Ovis aries: one gene and its partners. The protein of the gene in region 1 interacts with the protein of each later gene in a pairwise test. Links are inferred from orthologs where the notes say so. Each region holds a gene or a part of one and is shown on either strand. Other genes may lie near its edges. The genes, in order: PGBD1, SCAND1, ZNF496, NR4A1, MEOX2 and ZNF446.

What was found.
Region 2: the proteins of PGBD1 (region 1) and SCAND1 interact in binary tests that used the Homo sapiens proteins (3 or more experiments, as listed by UniProt). The two-hybrid records come from large-scale screens. The link is inferred for Ovis aries from reciprocal best matches to the Homo sapiens genes PGBD1 and SCAND1.
Region 3: the proteins of PGBD1 (region 1) and ZNF496 interact in binary tests that used the Homo sapiens proteins (3 or more experiments, as listed by UniProt). The two-hybrid records come from large-scale screens. The link is inferred for Ovis aries from reciprocal best matches to the Homo sapiens genes PGBD1 and ZNF496.
Region 4: the proteins of PGBD1 (region 1) and NR4A1 interact in binary tests that used the Homo sapiens proteins (3 or more experiments, as listed by UniProt). The two-hybrid records come from large-scale screens. The link is inferred for Ovis aries from reciprocal best matches to the Homo sapiens genes PGBD1 and NR4A1.
Region 5: the proteins of PGBD1 (region 1) and MEOX2 interact in binary tests that used the Homo sapiens proteins (3 or more experiments, as listed by UniProt). The two-hybrid records come from large-scale screens. The link is inferred for Ovis aries from reciprocal best matches to the Homo sapiens genes PGBD1 and MEOX2.
Region 6: the proteins of PGBD1 (region 1) and ZNF446 interact in binary tests that used the Homo sapiens proteins (3 or more experiments, as listed by UniProt). The two-hybrid records come from large-scale screens. The link is inferred for Ovis aries from reciprocal best matches to the Homo sapiens genes PGBD1 and ZNF446.

The regions. Positions count from the first base shown.
Region 1 is NC_056073.1:29,458,612-29,462,111, reverse strand, and holds part of PGBD1 (piggyBac transposable element-derived protein 1), read left to right. Parts: coding exon 1-60; intron 61-1,208; coding exon 1,209-1,365; intron 1,366-3,329; exon of another isoform or gene 3,330-3,500.
Region 2 is NC_056066.1:65,082,716-65,085,439, forward strand, and holds SCAND1 (SCAN domain-containing protein 1), read right to left. Parts: upstream 1,330-2,724; 5' UTR 1,273-1,329; coding exon 736-1,272; 3' UTR 501-735; downstream 1-500. UniProt on the Homo sapiens protein: May regulate transcriptional activity.
Region 3 is NC_056058.1:38,324,988-38,328,487, reverse strand, and holds part of ZNF496 (zinc finger protein 496), read left to right. Parts: intron 1-1,532; coding exon 1,533-2,287; 3' UTR 2,288-3,500. UniProt on the Homo sapiens protein: DNA-binding transcription factor that can both act as an activator and a repressor.
Region 4 is NC_056056.1:134,308,634-134,312,625, forward strand, and holds the start of NR4A1 (nuclear receptor subfamily 4immunitygroup A member 1), read right to left. Parts: upstream 2,801-3,992; 5' UTR 906-2,800; intron 1-905. UniProt on the Homo sapiens protein: Orphan nuclear receptor. Binds the NGFI-B response element (NBRE) 5'-AAAGGTCA-3'. Binds 9-cis-retinoic acid outside of its ligand-binding (NR LBD) domain.
Region 5 is NC_056057.1:25,059,012-25,063,158, forward strand, and holds the start of MEOX2 (homeobox protein MOX-2), read right to left. Parts: upstream 2,801-4,147; 5' UTR 2,521-2,800; coding exon 2,007-2,520; intron 1-2,006. UniProt on the Homo sapiens protein: Mesodermal transcription factor that plays a key role in somitogenesis and somitogenesis and limb muscle differentiation. Required during limb development for normal appendicular muscle formation and for the normal regulation of myogenic genes.
Region 6 is NC_056067.1:66,373,091-66,377,155, forward strand, and holds the start of ZNF446 (zinc finger protein 446), read left to right. Parts: upstream 1-1,265; 5' UTR 1,266-1,949; coding exon 1,950-2,151; intron 2,152-2,555; coding exon 2,556-2,923; intron 2,924-2,998; coding exon 2,999-3,200; intron 3,201-3,472; coding exon 3,473-3,603; intron 3,604-4,065. UniProt on the Homo sapiens protein: May be involved in transcriptional regulation.

The DNA of each region.
Region 1 (3,500 bases):
GGGGAGGATGCATTGATAGCGCTGGAGAGTCTAGAGAGAGACGCAGGAGACTCAGAACAGGTGGGAAGAGAATGTGTGTGGTGGTGTGGGAGATGTAATGGTGAACATTTGTCTGTTAATTTTTAACTCTGAAATAATTTATAACTTGTATTGGGAGAGTAGTGCAGAGAACTGTGTGTATGATTCACACACGTTAATGAAATGTTAACATCTGTTACAGGAATGTGCCGCCCTTCTTGTGTGAGCAAGTGCTCCCTCTCTCTGTATGCGTAGGTATTGTGTGTGCACGCACACACCCCCATATAGCTTATGCAGTATTTTTTCTTGAACCATTTGAGAATGGAATTAGTTGGAGATACCTTTTATCTCTAAACACTTCAGTGTGTTTCTGAAGAAGAAAGACATTCTTTTGTATAACTGGAATATAGATTATCATGTTTTGGGAAATTAAAATTTTTATGATACTATCACCTCAGTAGTAGTCCTTGTTCAGATGGATCCTTGATAGCCTAATAGTGTTCCTTATGCCAGTTTTGCCCCAATTCCCTCATCTCACATTTTTTAGTTGCTGTCTCTTCAGTCTTCTTAGATCTGGAACAGTTATTCAGTGTTTGTCATGATAATGACAGTTTTGAAGAGTACAGATGAGTTACTTTTTGGAATGCCCCTCAATTTGGGTTTGTCTTGTATTTTCTCACAATAAGACCCAGGTAGTACATTTTGGCTGGAATACCACAGAAGTGGCATTGTGGTCTCCTAGGGCATCACTTCAGGAGGCACATGGTGGTGGATCATCCTGTTACTGATGAGGTTAAGGTGGTATATGTCAGATTTCTCCACTATCAAGTTACCATTTTCCCCTTTGTAATTAGTAATCTGTGGGTGACATTTGGAGATGGTGTACATATCCTATTTCCCATTAAACTTCCACACACTATAAGCATCTATCTGGGGTTTGGTTTTGCTTTCTAGGCAGGGGTTCTTTGCCTGTATTGACTCTCTTTGCTTAGCATGTAGAACAGAATGTGGCTTTAGTAGGCATTCAGTCCATATTTGCCAGATGAGTGAATGTGTCTTGCTACTTTGTCTTACTCGCTACTTAAGGACTAAATGAAGCTTGTCTGGTGTTCCCTTGGGGAATGTCCCTAACTGCTGTTCAGTCCAGTTCCCACCAGGATGCCTTTTCAAAGTGAATCTTTTGTCCGCAGGCTTCTGTCTACACTCTAGGACAGGACTTGCACCTACTGGTGACAGAATGTCAAGGAACCTCTTCGGAGGGTCAGAGCCCCCAGCTCCTGTTGGGGGTAACCACCCTGAAGAGTGAGCCTCCAGAGTCTCCCCAAGAGACTGCCCAAGAAGTGAGTGGTGAGTGCCAGAGGGTGAACTTAGTAAAGACATTGGGAACAGGCCACTGACAGGTGTGTGGCCTTCTAAGTGAAAGCCTATTTATCTGTGTTCTCAAGTTTTGTTTCTGTCTTACCCTTTACCTAAGCAAGCTTTTAAAAACACCTGAAATTGTAAAATGTTAGAAATGTAAGATCTTTTCAACTCCCTTAATAGTTAGGAAAACCAAAACTCAGAGTATAAGTGACTTGCCCAGGGTCAGCAGAGGCAGCGCTGTCACCTGACCTTCTGACCAAGATTCTCTTTACTATATGTCTCTACTCCGCATTTCCAATTCCACACCTGGAATTTCAATATTTACTTGGTAGCTTTCCATAACTTTGTCTTTTTCCCCATGGTAATGTTTTCTTCAGTGGCCTCCTTCAAGATGCACTCCCTGTCATTCGCAAGGGCTTTTTATACCTTCGTAGGCCCTCCCAGATATTCTGGAGACTCTAGCCAAGGACCTGTGTGCCTACTAGTCATAACCCAAACACATTTCTCCAGGGTACCAGAGACCAAATGAATGGAAGAACAATTCCCCAGGCTACCTGCCTTCCCTCCCCTCCTGCTGGAGGGTAGGATTTATTTAGGGGAAAGGTGGAGGGCGGGGGGAGGGGAAGGTTAGTTGGGGCCATTTTATGGGGTGTTTAAATTCAAACCAGGAAGTTCAGACTTGAAAAATATTTGGGTACCATTGAAGCCTTTTTTTTTTTTTCCATAAAAAATATGATTTACAGTGACTGTTATTTGTGTGTATTTTGTATTTCATTCTCACCAGTCACGGAACACTAGTTTAAAATGAAAACTACTGAGTACTTGAGTTTTGCTAGCCTCTTAATGCTCAGCTGGGATTCTTAGCATCAGACAGATTGTTAAATTTTAGATATGTTGATGGAGAAGTAGAAAAGACCTTGGTATCATCTTATTCTTGGCAACTTAAGCCCACTTTGTCTTGTTCTGTCTTTGGCAGAGATAGAGAGCAGTGGGATCAGTGTGGTGTGTGTAGTGAGCATATATGTTTGAAAAGATTCTTCTACCTTCTTCCCAGGCTTAACCCTAAAGCTTTTCCACCTCAGGAGGATGATAAGGAGCAACCACAGAGTCTGGTCTGACGTTTGCTCTCAGACTTCCCAGTACTCTTGGTCTCTTTGCCCCTCTTCCATCTTCTGTTGCCACCCTGCCCCTCTTAGCTTAGCCCTTTCTCTGACAGCAGACCTGCTTCACACTGTGCTTTTTAAGCTGCTAGGGTTTTGGCATATATGCACTGTGGGGAGATTAGGTAGTAATAGTGAACCATGGGCTAGGCTATTTTATTTTCCTAGCAAGCTTTGTTCTCTCTAGTATGAAGGAACAGCACCAAAAAGATTCCACAATCATTCACTGTTGAAGCAAAGAAAAGTAGTGCTATGTTCTGGATTAGAATATCCCCTGTGCACTTCGTTTAGTAATTCTGGACTCCCTCTATTGTTACTGTCTTGGCAAACAGTGGTGCACTACTTTGCATTGGGGCCTTAAAGGGCTTTACAGAGGGCTTTTATGTTATCTCAGTCTTCATTGCCCCTGTAAAGTAGACTGTGTTCCCCCCCGTACAGATAAGGAATTGGAAAGAATCTTTCCAAGTAACAGTGCAGTGATGTACAGTCATTATCACTGTTTGGATTATGGTTTCCAATGCAGCAGATTCTCAAAAGTTCTCCTAGTTTGCAGTTAGCATCTCTTCTATGTATGACTGTGTGTCTGACTTTTTTTTACTGACGTATAGTTTATTTACAGTGTTATTAGTTTCAAGGGTACATGTATGACTCTTTTTAGAGCCATTTTAGGTTCACAGCAAAATTGAAAGGAAATTTCTCATCTCCCCCTGCCTCCCACACATACCCAGCCTCCCCCATTACCAACTCAATTTTTTTTATCCTCATTTTCTCTTTTTATCTTTCTCTTACCTGCTTTCCTGTTGCCCCTTGGCTTTGTCTCTGTTCTCCACTTCTTACCTTTCTTCTTTGTTCTCTGGTTAATGTTTCTTTATTCACCAACTTCTTCTTCCCTCTCCTTATTTTCATCTGTGATTGCTGATTTTTCTTTTATGTCTGTGAAAGTACATCACTGGAAAGCAT
Region 2 (2,724 bases), on another chromosome or scaffold:
TGTTCCGGAAATCTTTCAAGAGGCCTAAAATTTGTTAAGAGAGGGGTCTGGAGGCTTAAACCAGAGTTCACAAGAACTAGCCTCTCTAGGTAAGGACCTGCAGTGAACACTTACCAAAACAGCCCTGTAACTTGGGCCTTTGGGGAAGCCTGCACCCACGAGGTAGGCTGATGGAGCAAGTTGAGGACAGTATTGTTATAGCAGCAGCCAGTTAAATCAGCACTTAGTTACAGTCACCTATTTGCCTGCACGACCCACAACCACATACAAGATTGTACCACTGTTCTCTATCCGCTGAGACAGGAAAACAAGCTCAAATTCTAGCCAATGAAAGGTACGAGCGAATTTGAAACCAGGCTGCTGGAGTCCTCATTGCATAGGCTCCAACCAAACAAAGGAAACCCACGTGGGGCGCTGGGGAACGCGCAGGAAAAAAATTTCCAGATGTGGAAACCCATAGCCAACACATAATGATCCCACAAAAGCCAACGAAGGCCAAGTGAATAAGAAACAAAGGCTTTATTCTCATGGGCCCCCAACTTGGTTTCACAACTAGCCAGAACGGGTGGAAATAGGTTCGGGAAAATAAACACGGGAAAGGACGCATGAGATTGCAAGAACTGCCAAAACTCATTTTTCATTATCGCGTATTGGGGAGCCAAGCTCACGGTCCCGGACTCGATCATGGCTCCAGTCCAGAGAGTGCCTGACTCGGGTCGCCCGCAGCTCCGCCGCTCAGCCGGTGATGCGCACGTCGGTGCGGCGGCGAAGCCGCCGGGCCCGCGCCGCCTCGGGCAGGATGGCGAGAAGCTGCTCCTGCACTAGCATCTCCACGATCTGCTCCTTTGTGCGGATGTCGGGCCGCAGCCACTGGCGCGAGAGCTCCCGAAGCTGTCGGAACGCCTCCCGTGGGCCTGCAGCGTCTTGGTAGCGGAACTGCCGGAATCGCTGGCGGAAAGTCTCTGGGCCGGGCCGGGAGCCGCCAGGACCTGGAGGGGAGCGCGGAGAGGCTTCGGCAAGCGGCGCAGGGCCCTGGGGTGCGGGTCCGACAGGCAGGTCTAGGGCGGCGGAGGCCGCCGCAGGAGGCGTAACATTCGCTTCGGGGACCGCGGCGCTGGGATTGGAGGAGTTGGGGATAGATGGTGGGGCTTCAGGAGTCGAGGAGGAGCCCGCAGGGTCACCCTCCGTGCCTGAGCTCGGGCCGGCTCCTTCTTTCCCCGAGGATGGCGCGGGGCTTCCGGCTGGAGCCAAGCTTTGCTCGGGGGCCGCCATGACTCCGGCTCCCCGCGTCGCTCTTTGTCCAGCCGTTGTTGGCTCAGCTCTGCGTCTGCAAGGGGGCGGGGCAAAGGAGACTTTTCCCCTACAGGGCGGAGCGCGCGACCCTGAGGGAGGCGGGCGGAGGGCGCGCCGAGCTTACCAGCGCCGGCGAAGCGCCTGGGGCGGCCGGAAGTGGGCGTGCCCGCTGGCTTCTCTATGGGAAGTGGGCGTGCCCGCTGGCTTCTCTATGATGAGCTCTGCGCACGAGAGTCCGGAAGCCGGGTCTGGGCTCCCAGAAGCGGCGCCCCCTCGCGTTCCCACGTGGGGTCTGGAGGTGGCGGCGCCTGCGGGGCTGCAGACCAATCTTAGCTCGCCACTGCTGGCTCCGGATGGTGGCGCCTCCGAGCACCTGTTCGAAGAGAAGGAGGAGGAGGAAGAGTCGGAGGAGGAGTCGGAGGAGGAGTCGGAGTCGGAGCCGGAGTCGGAGTCGGAGCCGGAGTCGGAGCCGGAGGAGGGGTCGGAGGAGGAGCAGGTGCCGAAGCCGCCGCCCAAGCCGCAGGCGGCTCGCAAAAGCGTCTCGGCCCGCCTTGATCGCCTCAGCTTGCAGGTGACCTGTGTCCGCCCCTGCAAGCCCGCCTCTGTTTGGCCCTGGTTAGGATGGTGGCGAGCCGAGGACTTGCGCGGGCTGGCGCCCGGCTGGTGGCGGGACAACGGGACTGTGGTCAGGCACTGGGGGAGGGCCCAGCTCGGGAAAGTTCTCTGGCTCAATCGAAAGAGAAGGACAGTACACTCACCTGGTTGCGGGTGGATGACGTGTGCAAAGTCCTCTACACATAGTAATAAAACTTGGCCGTCTTATGGCGCAGAGTAAATGCCCAAGAACTCTGTTGTTATTATTATTATTATTATTATGCCTGTCTTCTGAAACCAAGAAACAGGTGGCTCTGTGGGTTCTGCTCTTAACTTTAGGATTACTAATGCGTAGCCTCATATAGTGGACTCTAGCCACGTGTTTTCGAGCCCTTAACATGTGGCAAGTCGGAATTGGGATGTGCTGACATGTGAAATACACACAGGCCTTAGTATGAAAAGAAAGTAATGTAAAATATCTCAATAATTTTTTATATTGGTTACATGTTGGATTTATAATACTTTGCACATATTGGGTCAAATAAAATATATTGTTAAAATTCATGTCTGTCGTTTTACTTTTAAATTGTGGGTGCCAGAAAAATTTGCATTCCATATGTGGTTTTCATATATATATTCGTTGTACAGTAAAAGCATGCTACCATGTGGGAGTCAGGCTGCCTTGGTGAAATCCCTGCAGGGTTTATTTGCCAGAGTTGTTGAGAGGATTAAATAGTAAAGACTTTGGAACAAATGAAAGTTAGTCACTCAGTGGTGTCCAGCTCTTTGCGACCCCATGGACTGTAGCCTGCCAGGCTCCTCTGTCCATGGAGTTTT
Region 3 (3,500 bases), on another chromosome or scaffold:
TTAGAAGTTTGATAGAGATAGTAGTGTTAGTTGTTCAGTCTTGTCCAACTCTTTGACCCCATGGACTGTCTGAAATGAAAGCCTTCCTTTATTTCATCCTCTTTCCTTTTTATTCTAAGATGGATATTCTCAGAAACACTGTTGGCTGCCCATGAAATTTACAAGGGTCCAGGCCATCAGACAAGATGGTCCTCTACAGACTGTTTCTGGATTATCTCATCTCCACTCTTGGCTTCTTAGATGGTCAATAGGATCTGTGGTTGTCCTGCCACACGCTTGGTATTCTCTCCAGAACATACTTTCTCATTTTTTGCAGGATAGATAGACTGAAAATTTTCTAAATCTTCAAGTCCCTTCCCACTCCCCCATTTCACATTGTACCCAGTCCCCTCACACTTGTGCTCTGATGTATGGGTAAATACCCGCATAGACTCTTCCACTGCCCAGTGTCTCTCCTGCTTGCTATGGTATTGGGTCTTCCTGCTATGTTCTGTCCAGTTTCACCTGCTCTCACTTCCCTAAGCTGCCACAACTCTCCTCCTTCTAGCAGTTAAGTCCAGAATAACCATATTCCTATTATTGTCTCAAAGGACCTGGCACCACTATTCCCCAGCCCTGTTTTAGACCTGAGCCCCTCATTTCAAAAAAATGAGGAAACAACTGTAAGGAGAGCCGTGTAGTGGTCTCTGGGCTGCAGGCAAGGACCTTATATCAGGGTCCCCACTGCCCACCCAACTCCTCCCCACAGTACATCTTTCCAACATCACAGACTCAAGATCCATTGAGCCAGCTTCAGTTACTTTATAAAGTCCAGTGCATCTTTATGCATTACCATTAGTGGCTGTTGGTTGGCCTCTGATATGATACTGAGAGGAAGAGATGACCTTGAGTAATCTGGAGCCTTTGAACAGCCCTACCATCACAGCAGGGCTCAATATCACTAGGCCTGAGCCGTTAAGCACGTGACCTAAGTTTGCCTATGTTTATAATGGCAAGTAGTACATTATTGGCTTGTGTCCAGGATCAGATGGCCTTGTGCATGTCAGAAGTCTTGTACAGCCCCTAGGGAATTTAAGTGCCTAGTATATGGTAGCTGGCAGCCTCCTGTCACTGTTTATAGAATATAGGACCCTTCTCTGTCTCAAGGCTCTTAATGCACCCTGACAATTTTTCCCTTGTCTCATTAAGAGAGGCAGAGTTAAATGATGTGTAAATGGTCAAGGTTTACACAGATAGATACAAAGTCTTAGAGCTTGGAGGGATCTCAGTGGCTAGAAAAGAAATGAATAAAAGGACTGGGTCTGGGGATTTAGGAGGAAAAGGTAGGGAAGTGAGAGAAGAAAGAGGTATGCAGAATGGTTAGCAGTGTGGCCTGTGCCAAGGGATTCCTTCTCACAAGACATACCACAGAGATACCTGCAGGGGAAGATTCCTTACAGAAATGTGGGTTTCTGGACCTTCTTGGGTAGGGTTTGCAGGGGCTCAGATGTGGCCTGGGCAGCATCACTGACCACCTTGTTGCTTTCTGGTAGTGGGAGGTGATGCACCATTCCCCGAGAATAGCCTGGATGAGGAGGTGACGATCGAGATTGTGCTCTCCAGCTCCGGAGATGAGGACTCCCAGCTCGGCCCCTACTGCACAGACGAGCCACGGAGCCCCACAGAGAAGCAGCACAGCCTCCCCATCTCCCACCGGAGTGGCATTGAGGCAGCGGGTGAGGTGCAGACCTCTAAAAAGTCCTACGTGTGCCCTAACTGTGGCAAAATCTTCCGCTGGAGGGTCAACTTCATCCGACACCTGCGGAGCCGCAGGGAGCAGGAGAAGCCACACGAGTGCTCGGTGTGCGGGGAGCTGTTCAGTGACAGCGAGGACCTAGACGGGCACCTGGAGACCCACGAGGTTCAGAAACCTTTTAGGTGCGGTGCTTGTGGGAAGAGCTTCCGCCTCAACTCCCACCTGCTCTCACACAGGCGGATACACTTGCAGCCAGACGGACTCGAGTTAGTGAAGAAGAAAGAACAGGAGGCGTCAGGGACCATGGGTGGGGATTCTGACGACCCACTGACAAAGGGCAAGGCCAAGCTGCGCTACCAGTGCTGTGACTGCGGGAAGGTGTTCCAGCGGCCTGAGCACCTGGCCCGGCACCGCAGTAACATTCACATGGACAAGTCCCGGCCCTTTCAGTGCAGGTACTGCGTCAAAAGCTTTTCCCAGAACTCTGACCTCCTCCGCCACCAGCGCCTGCACATGAAACGCCGGTCCAAGCAGGCTCTGAACTCCTACTGAGTCGGGGGCTTAACACACATTTTTGCGTGCAGCTCCAGCGTGGGTAGAGTGTATCCCACTTGTGCTTGGTACTGACCGGTTTCAGACTCCTCCCCAGGACAGAGACCACGTCCTCCTGACCTTTAACTCTCAGGTAGAAACGAGATAGTGGCCAGTTAAGTATTTGCTCTGTCTCTGCTGTGCCGAAAGCTAAGAGAGTGTGTCAGCACCAGCTTTGACTTGCCCGGTGTTTCGGGTCTAAGAGAACCCTGTTCAGTGCTTCCCACATGGTAGAGGGACTGGGGTACCCCCTACCACAGGAAACCTTTGAGGGGTCTGTCCCTTGCCAGCTTGCAGTGCACTCCCTTCCAGCCCCGTCTGAATTCCTACCCTATCCTGCGGTCTGGAGGTAATTTCTGCCTACCTGACAGCAGGAAGCTGCCGGTGGGGTGATGGGTTAGGAGGAAGATAATAAGGTGGGGCTGGACCTGTGGGCACAAGGGCAGCAGGGCCAAGCACACCAAGCCATGTCACGTCATCAGAAGTCTGTGTCCCAGGCACCATCTGGTCCATAAGAACACCTCAGAATGATCAGATGGCCCTTCCAGGCTCAGAAGCCTTTGTGGGGGACTTTATAGCTTGCCAAAGGGAAATCTTTCTTTCATGGTGGTGACTGGTTATTGGGAATTGTGAGCTCATTCAAGGCAAAGCCCACGTTAAAAGCCACATTTTAATTTGTTTGTTGGCACACACTACAAAGAAAGTGTCCTTTCTTTGTACCCTGAAGGTCCTTGGTATACTTGGTTGTGGGATAGAAGTGACAGCATCATCATTTGAAAGGCGCTTAACTTTCCCTTCCCCATTGTGTCATGTCTAGGAAAGGAGAGCTCACTCAGGTCCCGTAAAGGAGAGCTCAGGTCCCATGAATGAGAAGTTATTTTGTCTGGATGAGCTGAGCAGTAGAAACAGAACTTTTGGTGAAGTCATTCTATATATATATTAACTTCGTGTGCCAGTTGTATTAATTCCTTAAGGCTGCTGTATCAAAGTACCAAAAGCTGAGTGGCTCAGAACAACAGAAATTCATCGTCTCAATTCTGGAGGCCTGGAGTCCAAGATCAAGGTGTCAGAAAGGTTGGATTCTTGTAAAGGAAGGATCTGTTCCTTGCCTCTCCTTTAGCTTCAGTGATTGCTAACAGTTGTTGATGCTCTTTGTCTTGTCGAAGCATCACCC
Region 4 (3,992 bases), on another chromosome or scaffold:
AACCAGACCTGGGCTCTGTGGTCACAGCCACCAGCCCGTACTCATGTTTGGAGCCCACTTAAATTATCAGCATGCTAGTCAACCCAGCATTCAGGCCAGCCCCACGCAGCAAAGAATCTCTTCTGCATTCAAAACTCTCCAGAAGAGGCCCCACGCGTGCTCCCCCACCCCCCAGCCCTCATTCCGGGGCCACATTCCTCTCCCCACCTCCTGCCCACCCCCAGAAATCCTTTCCTGGACCTGTCCTAAACTCCTGCTGCACTCACAAGTCTCTTTTCCTCCTTTTGAAAATGATCCCAAGGATCTCTGGTTTGTCGCAAAATCACTTTCTCAGAAACTTTATGTTTCTTTCCCAGATTCAAATACTAGGCCAAGATGGAGATAAAGAAACCAATTCTTCAAAAATGCAAGGTGTGGGGGGGGGAGGCTATCAGTCTATTTTTTTCCTTCCCCCTTCCCCTCTCCTCTCCTTCCTACCCCAGGAGTTCCTTCCAAATGGGCTTTTTAAAGAAGCCACTACCCCCCACCTCCTCTTTTTCTTTTTCCAGAATTCTAACTTTTGAAATACATTTTAAAAATATTTGCCTGTGTAGGAGAAATACATTTATTTGGACAGGAAGAATAAAATTTTTTAAAAGTCTGAGTTACCACTTTTTCCATGAAGAATTCCAGCCCACAGAGGTCTCTCCCTTCTATAAATACTTTAGCACAACTTGGCTTTATTACATACTCTCCTGTTTTATAATGAAATAAAAATATATTAAAATATGTAATGCTAAAACACACATGCCCATGTCACTTGTGGTGGCTGACTGAGGTGGCTGAAGGAACATAGGTTCGAGAGGCCTGGGACTGACCCTGGTCCCCACTATTACCAACTATGTGACTTCAGGGCAATTACTTACCTTCTCTGGCCTTCCGTTTCTTCATTGGAAACACAAGGATGACAACATACCGATCTCACAGAGTTGTCATGAAGAGTGCATCTTTAATAGTACGGATAGAAAAATGCAGCAACAAGTCTGGGACTCAGTAGAAAACCTGCCATTTCCACACAAAAGAACTTGGGTTAAGGCAGGGCTGGGGACTTCATCTTCAAGCTGCACATCCAAAGTACTCACCCTGGCTTTTCCAGATAGTATGTTTATCTGGAGGCTTGAGCTGCACAGATGAGGGTGATGTCACCTCATGATGTCACGACAGATGTCCAGCAAATTTCAATCCTCTTGTCTCCTTGACCCAGTTAGCCAGTGGCCAAGCCAGGGCGACAGCCCCCATCTTCCATCTCCCAGACCAGTACTCAAATTTGTATGCACCATCTTGCTCCTTTTCTTCGTAAGTTAGGCTCTCCTCTTTCTACACAAGTTTCAGGAACTACCACAGACCACACACTGCAGACGGGAAAACTGCAGGGGAAAACTGAGGGGAGAGAAGGGCAATTCTTTGCACAGCTCAGGAGATAGGACTAGAGGGGAAAACAGACCCCATCCAGTGCTGTCCCACATAATGGGAAATTCCTAAGGGAGAAGGACAAGCTCTTGCCACAGAAAGCTGGGGAGGCAGGACACAAGACAGCTCCCTGCCAGAAGAGAATATGGGCACAGCGTGAAGGGACAGACAGGACCAGGTAAGGCAGAGAGAAGGAAGAGTATTCCATAGAGGACAAAGATTGATCACAAAGTTCACAGGTATGGGGTGGGGACAGGGTAGAGATCTTGGGGGCATAAAGCCCCAGGACTCAGGACAGTCAAACCCTTAGTGGTGTTCCCCATATGCCCTTCCATCTCAAAAGTAGCAGAACCCAGTAACCCAACTCTGCCCAGTCAGACAGACACCATTCCACCTTACCTCCACCCTGACCCACTGGGGGTGGGGGTAAAAGGATGTCCAGGGGGTGCCCCAGACCATTTGGGCCCTGAAGGGGCTCCCCTGTCCAGGTCCCAGCCCTCAATGAGGAGAGGGGCTGTGGAGGGGATTCCCTTCGTGGTTCCCTTCCTCACTCTGAGGATGGAGAAATACCAGGCCGGGGTCCCCCCACCCCTTCCCCACGTTTAGGAGCAATTAAAGGGCAAAAAATGGGGACACAAAGACCAGGCCTTTCAGGGGCTGTCCCAGGGATCATGGCTTTCCACGGGTGACCTAGATGGGAGTACATGCTCTGAACGACATAAGGAGGAGGAGGTGCCCTGCTGGGTGCTTTTAAAAGTGTCTCCACATTTGCTCTTCCCTAGTTGCCATGGAAGGCCGTCAGGGCCAACAGGAAACAGTGGCCAAAGTCACCAGGCTGGAAGTGACAGAGCTGGAATTAATACCAAGATTTCCCCTAAATCCAAGCCAGGCTCTTTATTATTAAAAACAAACAAATCCTCTGTAACTTATTTTTTAAATTACAAAATCAAACAAGCTCGTTGTAAACAAATGCAAAACGTTACAAAACTGCGTGATGATTTACGAAGTGAGAGACCGGTAATCTATTCCCAGAGGAGTCGAGTTTGGTAATCCTCTGCTGCCTGCTTCCAGATTTCTCTCCACGTTGCCAGAGATCAGATCTGGCCCAGCAGGCCCTCCCAGAGGGGCCGGGACCGGAACGCCGGGCCGGGACCGGAACGCCAGGCCCGAAGGAATAGGGCCGGGCTCCGCTGCAGCGTTGCGGCCTCGGCTGTGCCCCACGCCGTGTTCCCGGGGGCGGCCGTAATGCCCCGCGCCAGGCCGGGTTGGGTCGGGTGGGGCCCGGGGAAGCCGCTACGTCACCAAGCGGACCGGAGGGAGTCCGCGCCGGGTCCAGCCAGGATTCCATTACATCACCCCGCAGCGCGGACCCGCCGCTGGGTAAACACCGCTGCAAACCATTGGCTACCGTGCCGCCCTTCCAACCAATAGCACGAGCGCATGCAAATCAGCCATTGGGCGTTCACTGCCTTTGGGTCTGATGTATGCAAATAGACTTCTTTGCCAGGATGGCGCAGGGCGGCGGGCGTAGGGGGCGGGTGCCTCCAGGCTGAGAAAAAAGAGTGGCCCCGAAATCCGAAATCCGTAGCGGAACTGGTTGGGGACTTTCCATCTCAAATATGGTCCGGCCATTCCTGTGGGGACTAGAGGGTAATTAAGGATAAACGCCTATAATTCTTGAGCTATCTTTCCAGTTAGTCCTTGCTTCTCGGAGGTCAGTGAACCTAAGCAATGATGCAAACGTTAGTTAGGTCAAGTTGGAAAGAGGGAAGAAATAAATACAGAGATACAGAGAAAACTGAACCGTACTGTGGTGAATATCGGGGACGACTCTCCCGCTGGGGACACAAAGCAAAGAACAAAACAGACACAGTCCCTGTCTCTGCGCCTTCTTACAACCCAGGCTGCCATTAAAACATCTTGCCAATAAGTAATAAGCGCCCTAAAGAGAAAACGAGTTGCAGGATGTCAATGACACATTTAATGAAGAGCTGCAATTTAGAAGTGGAATGGTGGATAAGGAAAGTAATTTTTTTCCTTCCTCAGGAAGTAAAGTTTTCAGCTGAGGAGTATTTATGAGGTGAGGAGGCAGGGGAAGGGCCAAGTGTTCCACGGAGAGGAAACAGTACGTGGTAAAGCTCGGAGGTGAGCAAGAGCATTGTGGAGGGCCACGTGCCAGACACTTTCCTTGTTTTGTCTCTTCCTGCCGTTCAACAGCACTCTTAGTTGGGTCCTGTTTAGTATTGAGGGAACTGAGGCTCCAAGAAGCTAAATAACGTGCCTAACGGCACACAGCTGAGAAATCACAGAACATGGTTTGTATCCAGGTTGGTGTGGCCTAAGGTCTCTGCAGTGAACCGCTGATTGTGCCCTCCTGGTTTAGAATCTGAAAGGTCAGGGAGGTGAAGTGATTTGTTCTGCACTTCATGGCTGACAACAGAGCTCCGATCCCCAGAGAGGTCTGCAGATTTTTCACTGTGCTGTGAAGGAAGATGGGGTTCCAGAATGAGGAGTTGGGTGGGGGAGAGAAAAGATCTTCCCTG
Region 5 (4,147 bases), on another chromosome or scaffold:
TTCTACCCTTGGTGATGATTAACTGTATTTCCCATTCAAGATGTAATCTATTAATATTTTATGTATCTGATGAAAACTTTTGTTTTTCCAGGACTTTAATGACTAACTTCAACATGAAAAGATAAACTTATTTTGTTATATGGTTATTTCCCACCAAAGGACGGTAGCAGTATTAATATAACCAATTTTCTTAAGAAAGTCACTATTAAAATAACTGAAGGGAGTCAGTTCTTGGATCTCACTTTCTTGATTTCTCCTTGATCAAAGTAACATAGGCCTATATGAAAATTCAGCTTGTCCTAAGAAACTTAGGTGCGTTTGTTCAGTTGAAGAAGCATATGAAACAATCCATGATATAGGTTTCTCACTGCAGAAAGTACAAGGAATAGTAAGAGCCTCTGGTAAATTGCAAAAGCGTCCCTGGCTAACCTGTACTCAGATCTAATCCCAGAAAAGTTACATTGATATCAAATGCTGATCCTATAAAAGGATGACTGCATTCTAAAAATGACTTGTTTTCTAATGAAGATGGAAGCCTTCTTGCTATATTAACTTTTTCACTCTGTCTGAAGAGTGTCTCACTTAGGGTTAGTAAAAACCATTAAAAATGAATGATACTGCTGGCAACCTTTTTGGATATCAACTATTTTGTGATGGAGCATTAGAAGTTCACCCTGACGTTGGAATGTAAACGTGAGATTCTAAGTTTGAGATAGAAGAACCCATTCCGTACTCACTGAAGAATAATTGATACCACTGCTGAAAAAGAACATGAAATATGCGGCTCAATCACTGTCATTCATGTGAAATCTAATCTAAATTATTATAAAGGATAGACATTATCCAGTCTTTCAAATCAGTACCTGGAATTATCTTCCAGGGCTCTTAAAACCAATGCCGCAAAGAAAGAAAATACGTAAATATTATATTAAATAAACAACAGCTTGCAAAAAGATGGGACGCAGGTTGCGTCGTAGCTACTGAAGAAAGCTCATACCCTCCTTATAAAGCATCTTTTAACAATTTCTTTAGGACAGAGACAGGTAAGGGCTTTGACAGTTGACTGCAAAGCTTTAGTTTCTCTGGATTGCTAAAGTTTAGTTGGCTGCGGGTGCCTTCAAGCATTCGCGTTTGGTTAAGATTCCCCTTTCGCTACGCGGTTCAAGATATCCTCGCGTAGATCAGCGCCTCCTACGCACACCCACTTGTAGCAGCGCTACCCTGGTTGCTGTTAAGTTTCCCAATCCTTGTTTCGGATAGTACTCAACTGGAGGAGGATTTTACTTTCCACTTTTGAAACTCAGATTTTCTTTTTGGTTAGCATTACATGAATACAACTACAATAAAGAATCGTCTTTCGTCAAGGGTCTGAGCGTATATTTAGTTGCCATTCTCTGACACATTCCTTAAAATCCTCTGAATTCCTAGACAATATCTTCTTCCCCCAAGAAAGAGAAATTTTACCATTTGGAATAGGGTGCTATTTAAAGAACTCTGAAATCAGAATTAAAAAAAAAAAAACTAAACTAAAACTTTTTCTCATGTGCTCTGCCAAGTTCCACTGCAAGTTCCAAATGTTGTGCAATAATTTGGAAATCCAGTTAACGATGGGAAAAATCGAGCCATTCAGAGTCGGGAAAAGTCAAGGAAAGGCACCCGCACGCACGCCCAGCGGACGCTGCATCCCAGGGTGCATTCCTCTCCCCATCGCTCAGATGGAAGGTCACGCTTCGCAATCGATTTCACATACTTGTCACTTGTCCTTTTTTTCTCAACCCTCTGGTAAACTAGTTTGAATCTTGGAGAGCTTAACGCACTTGGCTGCAGTGCTGCCCTCGGAGAAACACGTGCCCCCAAATAAAAGGACCAAAGCAGCCTCGCCGAATTTGGCGGCGAGGAGCCAGAGAGGAAAAGACCTGTCCCATAACGCCCGCCGCCTCACTCTAGTAGGAGAATCTTCCCATCTCCCCGCCCCCTTTCGCCGAGGGTGCCCGGCGCGCCCTTACCTGAGCTATCGCTTTTCCTCTTGCTGCCACTTCTCTTCTCCGCCTCCGCGGGTGACAGCGCCTGGCGGCCGTAGTCCCCTGGCGGGCACGCGGCCCCGGTCGGGGTGCTGGAGCCCAAGCTGGAAGAGTTGGAACACAGGACCGGCGGGCTGCTCCCCAGCTCCGGGGGCCCTCCCGAGTCCGGCTGGAGGCAGAGGCTGTGCCGAGCCGCGCTCGGCGGGGAGGACATCTGCGGGAGGTGCCAGTTGGTTTGCAGAGCTTGGTGCTGCTGCTGCTGGTGGTGGTGGTGGTGATGGTGGTGGTGGTGGTGGTGCCCCCTGTGATGCTGGCTGGCAAACATGCCCTCCTCGTTGGGGTATCCCGCGATTATGCAAGACGAGGAAGAAGTGGAGAGCTCGGGGTAGGACATGTGGTCAGATCTTCCATGGAGGGCGAGAGAGGATTGGGAGAACGGGTGCAAGCCTTGCGCGGTGGCGTGAGGGCTGCGCAGGCAGCCAAAGAGCGGGTGTTCCATAGCATGCAAGTCTCGGGTTCCAGGCAGAAGACTTCACGACGGTTCCAAACGCCACCACCCTCTGTCACTTTTCACTGGAAACCGTGTGACTTTTCCCCCTCCCAAAGCAATAGCCGCCCGCGTTTCGTCAGAGCTCGGATAATCCTGGTCCTGAGCCCTAGCGGCCAGTCTCCTTTACATATAAACACTCGGACCTCGAGAAGCTTCCCTCTGAGCTACTCAGATGTCAAGAGCAGGAGAGGTTGAAGCCAAAAGAAGGTGGTCCCAGAGAACTGCTTTCAGGGGGAAACGGCTCTGAGAGGTTATAAATAGAGTGTAATGTGAGCTGGGGGCTGGCTTAGGAGCCCAGTGCTGACCACATGCAAACTCCCTCCAAAACTCCCGCTCAGTTCGCGCAATGCGCTCCCAGTTCCACTTCCTATCGCCGGCTGGACGCATGCAGCGCGTCCACGCCCTCCCGCCGCTGCCAACAGCCTGGACTGCAAGCGGCAAGCCGGGCGCCTAAACCAGAGCCCCGGCGGGCAGCGGCTGCCCTTCCCGCTCCGCCGGCCGGGGCGCGCCGTGGCGCCCGCCAGCTCCAACCCCACAGCCAGTGTCCCACCTGCTCACTTCTCTCCTGAAAGGTGTCTTGTCAATGCCACTTGGGCACTGTCACCTGCAGAAAAACAGGGTGTGCCTAAATGTGGAGAAGCACGAAAGGTGGAGGATAAGGAAAAGAATCAGAGCTAGTTTGGCGCGCACTCAGATTAAGGTTTTCCAAATTCGCATCAACTCGTGTCATGGGCTCAGTGGCGTTTCTAGCTTTTTTATACAGCTGGTGTCTGTGGGTGGGTTGTTAGAGCGCTGAGACGCCAGATTCGAGGATGCAGGAAAAGTTCCCCACGGGCGAGAAAGGGCCGCAAGGAACGAGACTTGATAGGGTGGAAGAAAGCATGGGGCCGTGACGGTCGCAGACGCTCTGCTTCTGGCATCCTCACCTGCGGTCCCAGGTGGGGTCTCTTCCCCTGCTTTCCTCAAATGTCCTCCCCCACACCGCTCTCGATTTCCGGGTCCCACTTCCATTTCCTTGCCACTTGTCCGCCCAGAAAAACTTTTCCTGGATCAGGAGTATTCTAAAGCGATTTCACCCTAGTCACAAGCGATGTGTATATTGAATGTACATTTCCAGTACTCTCCCTCAGGAGCCAGCCCCCTGTCACCTCGTTTCCCTCCAGAAATCCATCTCTCTTCCGCTCAAAAAAATCAATCAGCTCATTGCACCCCTTTCACTCCCACGCCGCCATGGTTCCATTTACCAAACAAATATTACACTTTGGTATCGCTTAAAGTTCGGATCTCCCTGGTTACAATTTTGCATCCTAGAAAATGACTTAGAAAACTTGCCACCAGTGAATTAATGCGAGCGACGGCTGGGCTTTCATACTACCACATGCTTAAAGGGCGACACTGTCTGCTAGGGGCCAAGTCGTTTACACAAGGCACGCACGCTGGCCGAGCATAATGAGCTGCGGGAACAGTTGAGCCTTGCCTAGGACTTGTCGCATCAGGAGAATATCGGCGCTCACCTATCCCTCCCGGGACCCCAAATTTGCCACCAGGAGCGTCGCCGTCTTACTTTCATTGTCTC
Region 6 (4,065 bases), on another chromosome or scaffold:
AATTTCTAACTTCCCCAAAGATCTGCCTTTAGAAAGTCTAAAACATCTCGTGCCTCCACGATTGGGAGGCTGTAAACAATTACATGTGGCCAGACGAAACTGTACAGGCAGGCTAGATAACCTTCAGAGGAATTCATAAGTTGAAACACTCTTGTCACGCCCAGGAATTTTTATTGACTTGGAGCTGTAAGTTAACTCCTTCTCAGAGAGGTAATGGCGGGTCAGCCCCCCGTAAAGTCAGAGGTGTATAGGTGAGAGTGTGAAACAGTAAAGTAGGCAGACTCTGGTTTGAGGGGTAGATGCTCGGGAACAGGGGGTTTCCTGAGGCTCGATCCCGCCTTGCCAAAGCCTCCTTCCTCATGACCTTTGCCATGGGCGGAGTTCCTCATGCTGGCTCCTGGCATCAAGCTTCCATTGCTGGGGGCCCAGGGTTCAATCCCTAGTTGGGGAACTAGGATCCCACATTCTGCGTGGTGTGGCCAATAAGTAAATAAAATACAAACCCGCAAGTAGGATCGTGAAAGAGGAGGCAATGGCATGCGGAAGCTAGAAGCGGGTGGAAATCGAGGCGCTAGTACCGATTTGGGGAAAAGCCAAATACTGAGTTGGCGCTGGCGGACGTGCAGGGTGATCCCACCAGGCTCACGCTGTAGAAATCCAGAAGGCTTGAAAACCAGCAGCCCTCTGGAAGGGTAGACCCAAAACAAACATGACTGAGGGAAAGCTCCCGAATAGGCTGTTAGAGCTCCAGCTCTCCCCACATGGTAGATGGTGGAAGAGCCCTTTCTTTGCAGGACTGATCTAGCTGAAGGCACGTCTGAGAGTCTGAGAATATAGATTACGGGACAGTTTCCTCATCAGCAGATGAGTGCCTGCTGTCCCCACACACCCGCAGGGCGCTCAGTAGTAGTCGAATGACGGACCCCAGTGCCATCCTCGCTGGAGAAATTCCTGGGGAAGGCGGAGAACGCCCATGGGTTAGGCTAGCCTTCCCGGCAGCCCCCTGCTTCCTCCTGGGACCCCGAGAGGCGAGTCTCTGGGAAACTTCCGGCCGCCCGGGAGGGCAGGGCCACGCTCCGGCGGTCGCCTTGGAAATAGCGGGAGGCGGGCCGCTGTGCTCCCGCGGTAACCAGGGCGACCGCCCGCGCCCAGAAGGAAGTTGCAGGGAGAGCTCCCGGGCGGAGCGCCAGCCTGATTGGCCGAGAGGTCACGCCCCGCCCTGCCTCACCTCTCGGCCAATAGGTGCCGGCCTGCTGTGCTCATGCGCAACGTCCGGAGGTCCCGTCCATCTCTGCAGTTGGTGAGTCTTCGGGAGCGGGTGCAAAGGGAGAGCGGCGGCTGGGACAGGGCGGGAGCCCCCCGAAGCCCGCGGCGCCGCAGATGCCACTCGGAGGAAAGGGGCGCCCCTCAGTCTTTCGAGGCCTCCGAGAAACAGCACCTGCTCCGAGGCCGCTCCTCTGCTCGCGTGCTGAGGCTCATGGGAAACGTAGTCCGACGGGAGGGGGCGGGGCCTCGGGGCAGACGTGTGATTGGCCAGGGCGGCGTCGCCGAGGCAACGCGCGAAAGGCAGGCTGATGGGGCAGCGGGAGGGGCGGGGCCTCAGAGCAGACGCGTGATTGGCCAGGGCCGCGTCGCCGGGGCAACGCTCGAGGGGCTGGCCCATGTTGGGGGGACCCCGCGGAAGGGGGCGGGGCCGCTCACCTCAGTGGCTCGGGATGGCGGGGTGAGCGCCGGCGGGCTAGGCGCACGAGCCCTTCCCGCCGCCGCCCGATGCGCGCGGGCCCCTCCCGCCGCCACCCGACGCGCGCGGGGCGCCCTGCCCCCGAGCCTTCATCTGGGCCCCTCCTCCGTCTGTGGCGCCGTCCCTTCCTTGCGGAGGACCCCCGTCTGTGGAAGTCTAGCTTTGGGGGTAGGGCCCGGTCCAGCCTGTCGGAGAGGCCCCCCCCCCCATGTGGACGCGTCTCCCTGCGGACCCTCAGGGCCGGGACGCGGTGGCCCGCGGAGCGCCCCATACAGCCCTAGGCTGTGGTTTACTTGGCTTCCGCCTTTCACAAGTACGGTCCACACGGTGTGAGTCACGCACAGCTGTCCGGTGTCAGCGATCACGGTGTCTCAGGGTCCACGTCGGCCCCTGCTTCGGCCGTGGCGCAGGTCAGCTTCTCGGGGTGCTTCTGTTGAATCAACGTGACCCGGAGATGGAGGAGACGGGTAGCCTGTTCTCACCCTGGCTCCCCCACTCTCGGCTTCTCGGCCTGAGCCTGGAAGCCTGGGGTAGTTCCCCTGGCCTTGCGCTCAGCATCATCTAGCTGTTCCCTGGAAGCTCCATCCGACTCCAAGTGGTTCCCAAGGCTTCCTTCTGCTCTTAGTTCCAGCTCTTGTGACCTTTCCTTCCACGAAACTTTCCTCAGTTCAGCGTCGAGCATCCCCACACTAGGGTCCTCTCTGTCCAGACATCAGCAGCACCACCACCACCCCTGGGCTGGGGCTGTCTGCACGCAGCTGCCTCACCTTGGCTGTGGCCTTGTGGCTGGCACTCTGACCCCTCTTTCCTGCAGGTGGCTCCAAGAAGATTCCCCTCACAATGCCATCCTCACTGGGTCCCCCGAGTCTGCCTTCTCTGGACCCCGAGGCCACCCCAGAGGATCCTGAGATGGCACGCCAGCGCTTCCGGGGCTTCTGCTACCAGGAGGTGGCCGGTCCCCGGGTGGCCCTGGCCCGGCTGCAGTTTCTGTGCCGCCAGTGGCTCCAGCCCGAGGCGCACTCCAAGGAGGAGATACTGGACCTGCTGGTGCTAGAGCAGTTCCTGGGGGCGCTGCCCCCTGAGATTCAGGCCTGGGTGCGGGGCCAGCAGCCAGGCAGCCCTGAGGAGGCCGTTGTCCTGGTCGAAGACCTACAGCGTGACCCTGGGCAGCTGCTGGGCTGGGTGAGTGTGGTGGTGGTGGCTTCTCTGAGGGACAGAGTGAACCTAGCACCCCAATGACCCTCCCTCCCCCCGCAGATTACAGCGCACGTCCTGAAGCAAGCTGTGCTCCCAGCCACACAGAAGACAGAGGAGTCGCTGGGGGGTGTCCACCCCTCAGGGACAGTGGAGTCCCTCAGGGAAGCCTCTGGGGAGGCGCCAAAGGGTGCCCAGATGGAGGGCAGTGCCCACCTCAGATGCAGCGTGAAGGAGGAGCCTGATGGCTACGTGCAGGAGACAGGTGAGGTGCGGGTGCACAAGGGCTGGGGCCCCTTGAGAGTGTGAGGGGGGAGTCCAGGAGAGGTTGTGTGGAGACTGGGGGCTCCTGGAGTGGGTCTGGCATCCCCAGGTGGGAGGCGGGCCCCACAAGGACTGGGTCCCTCGGAGGCTGGAGGGAAGGGCTGGCTGGCTGCCTGCCGTGTGCCTGGCACACAAAGAGCATGCCTTCCTGCTGCCAGAGGAGGGCCCAGGCTACAGCACCAACGCCAGCTCCTTGCCTGCCCTGGCTCGCAGGGACAGCCCCTGACCCCTGCCTGCCTGGCTTCCTAGCATCCTCCAGCCCCCCACCTCCAGCCCAGTCCCACAAGGAGCACGTCGAACAACAGGAACCGACCTCCGCACCCTTCCAGCCACCCCGGCTTCAGGTGAGCAGCCCCCGGTTGGCGAGTGCAGCCCCGCTGCAGGAAGAGGGTGTCCTCAGGGGCTGCTCTCTGTCCTGCCGGCTGTCCAGGCTCCTTGGCGAGTGCTTCTTGTCCTCTCTGCTGCCGCGAAGTGGAGTTGGTATCAGGGTACCCCTGGCAGGGCGTGGGGGACAGAACAGTGCTTGGAAAGAATTCTGGTCTCAGGGAACTGGGAACCTGGTTTAGAGTGATGGGAACTGGCAGAGGTGGGCTTCGCACTTAGACGTGAGACGGAGGTTGGCAGGAGTCCTGTGCCGGCACCCGGGGTGAACCCTCATGGGCATGTGCAGAGCGGACAGGGTCCCCAGTGTGGCAGGAAAGCCTGAGTGACACCCAGCAGTCTGGCCTCCCTGCACACCCGAGGTCAGAATAGAGACACTCTTACCAGGAAATGGCCCGGGAACTTCATCCAAGGCCAGTCAGCCC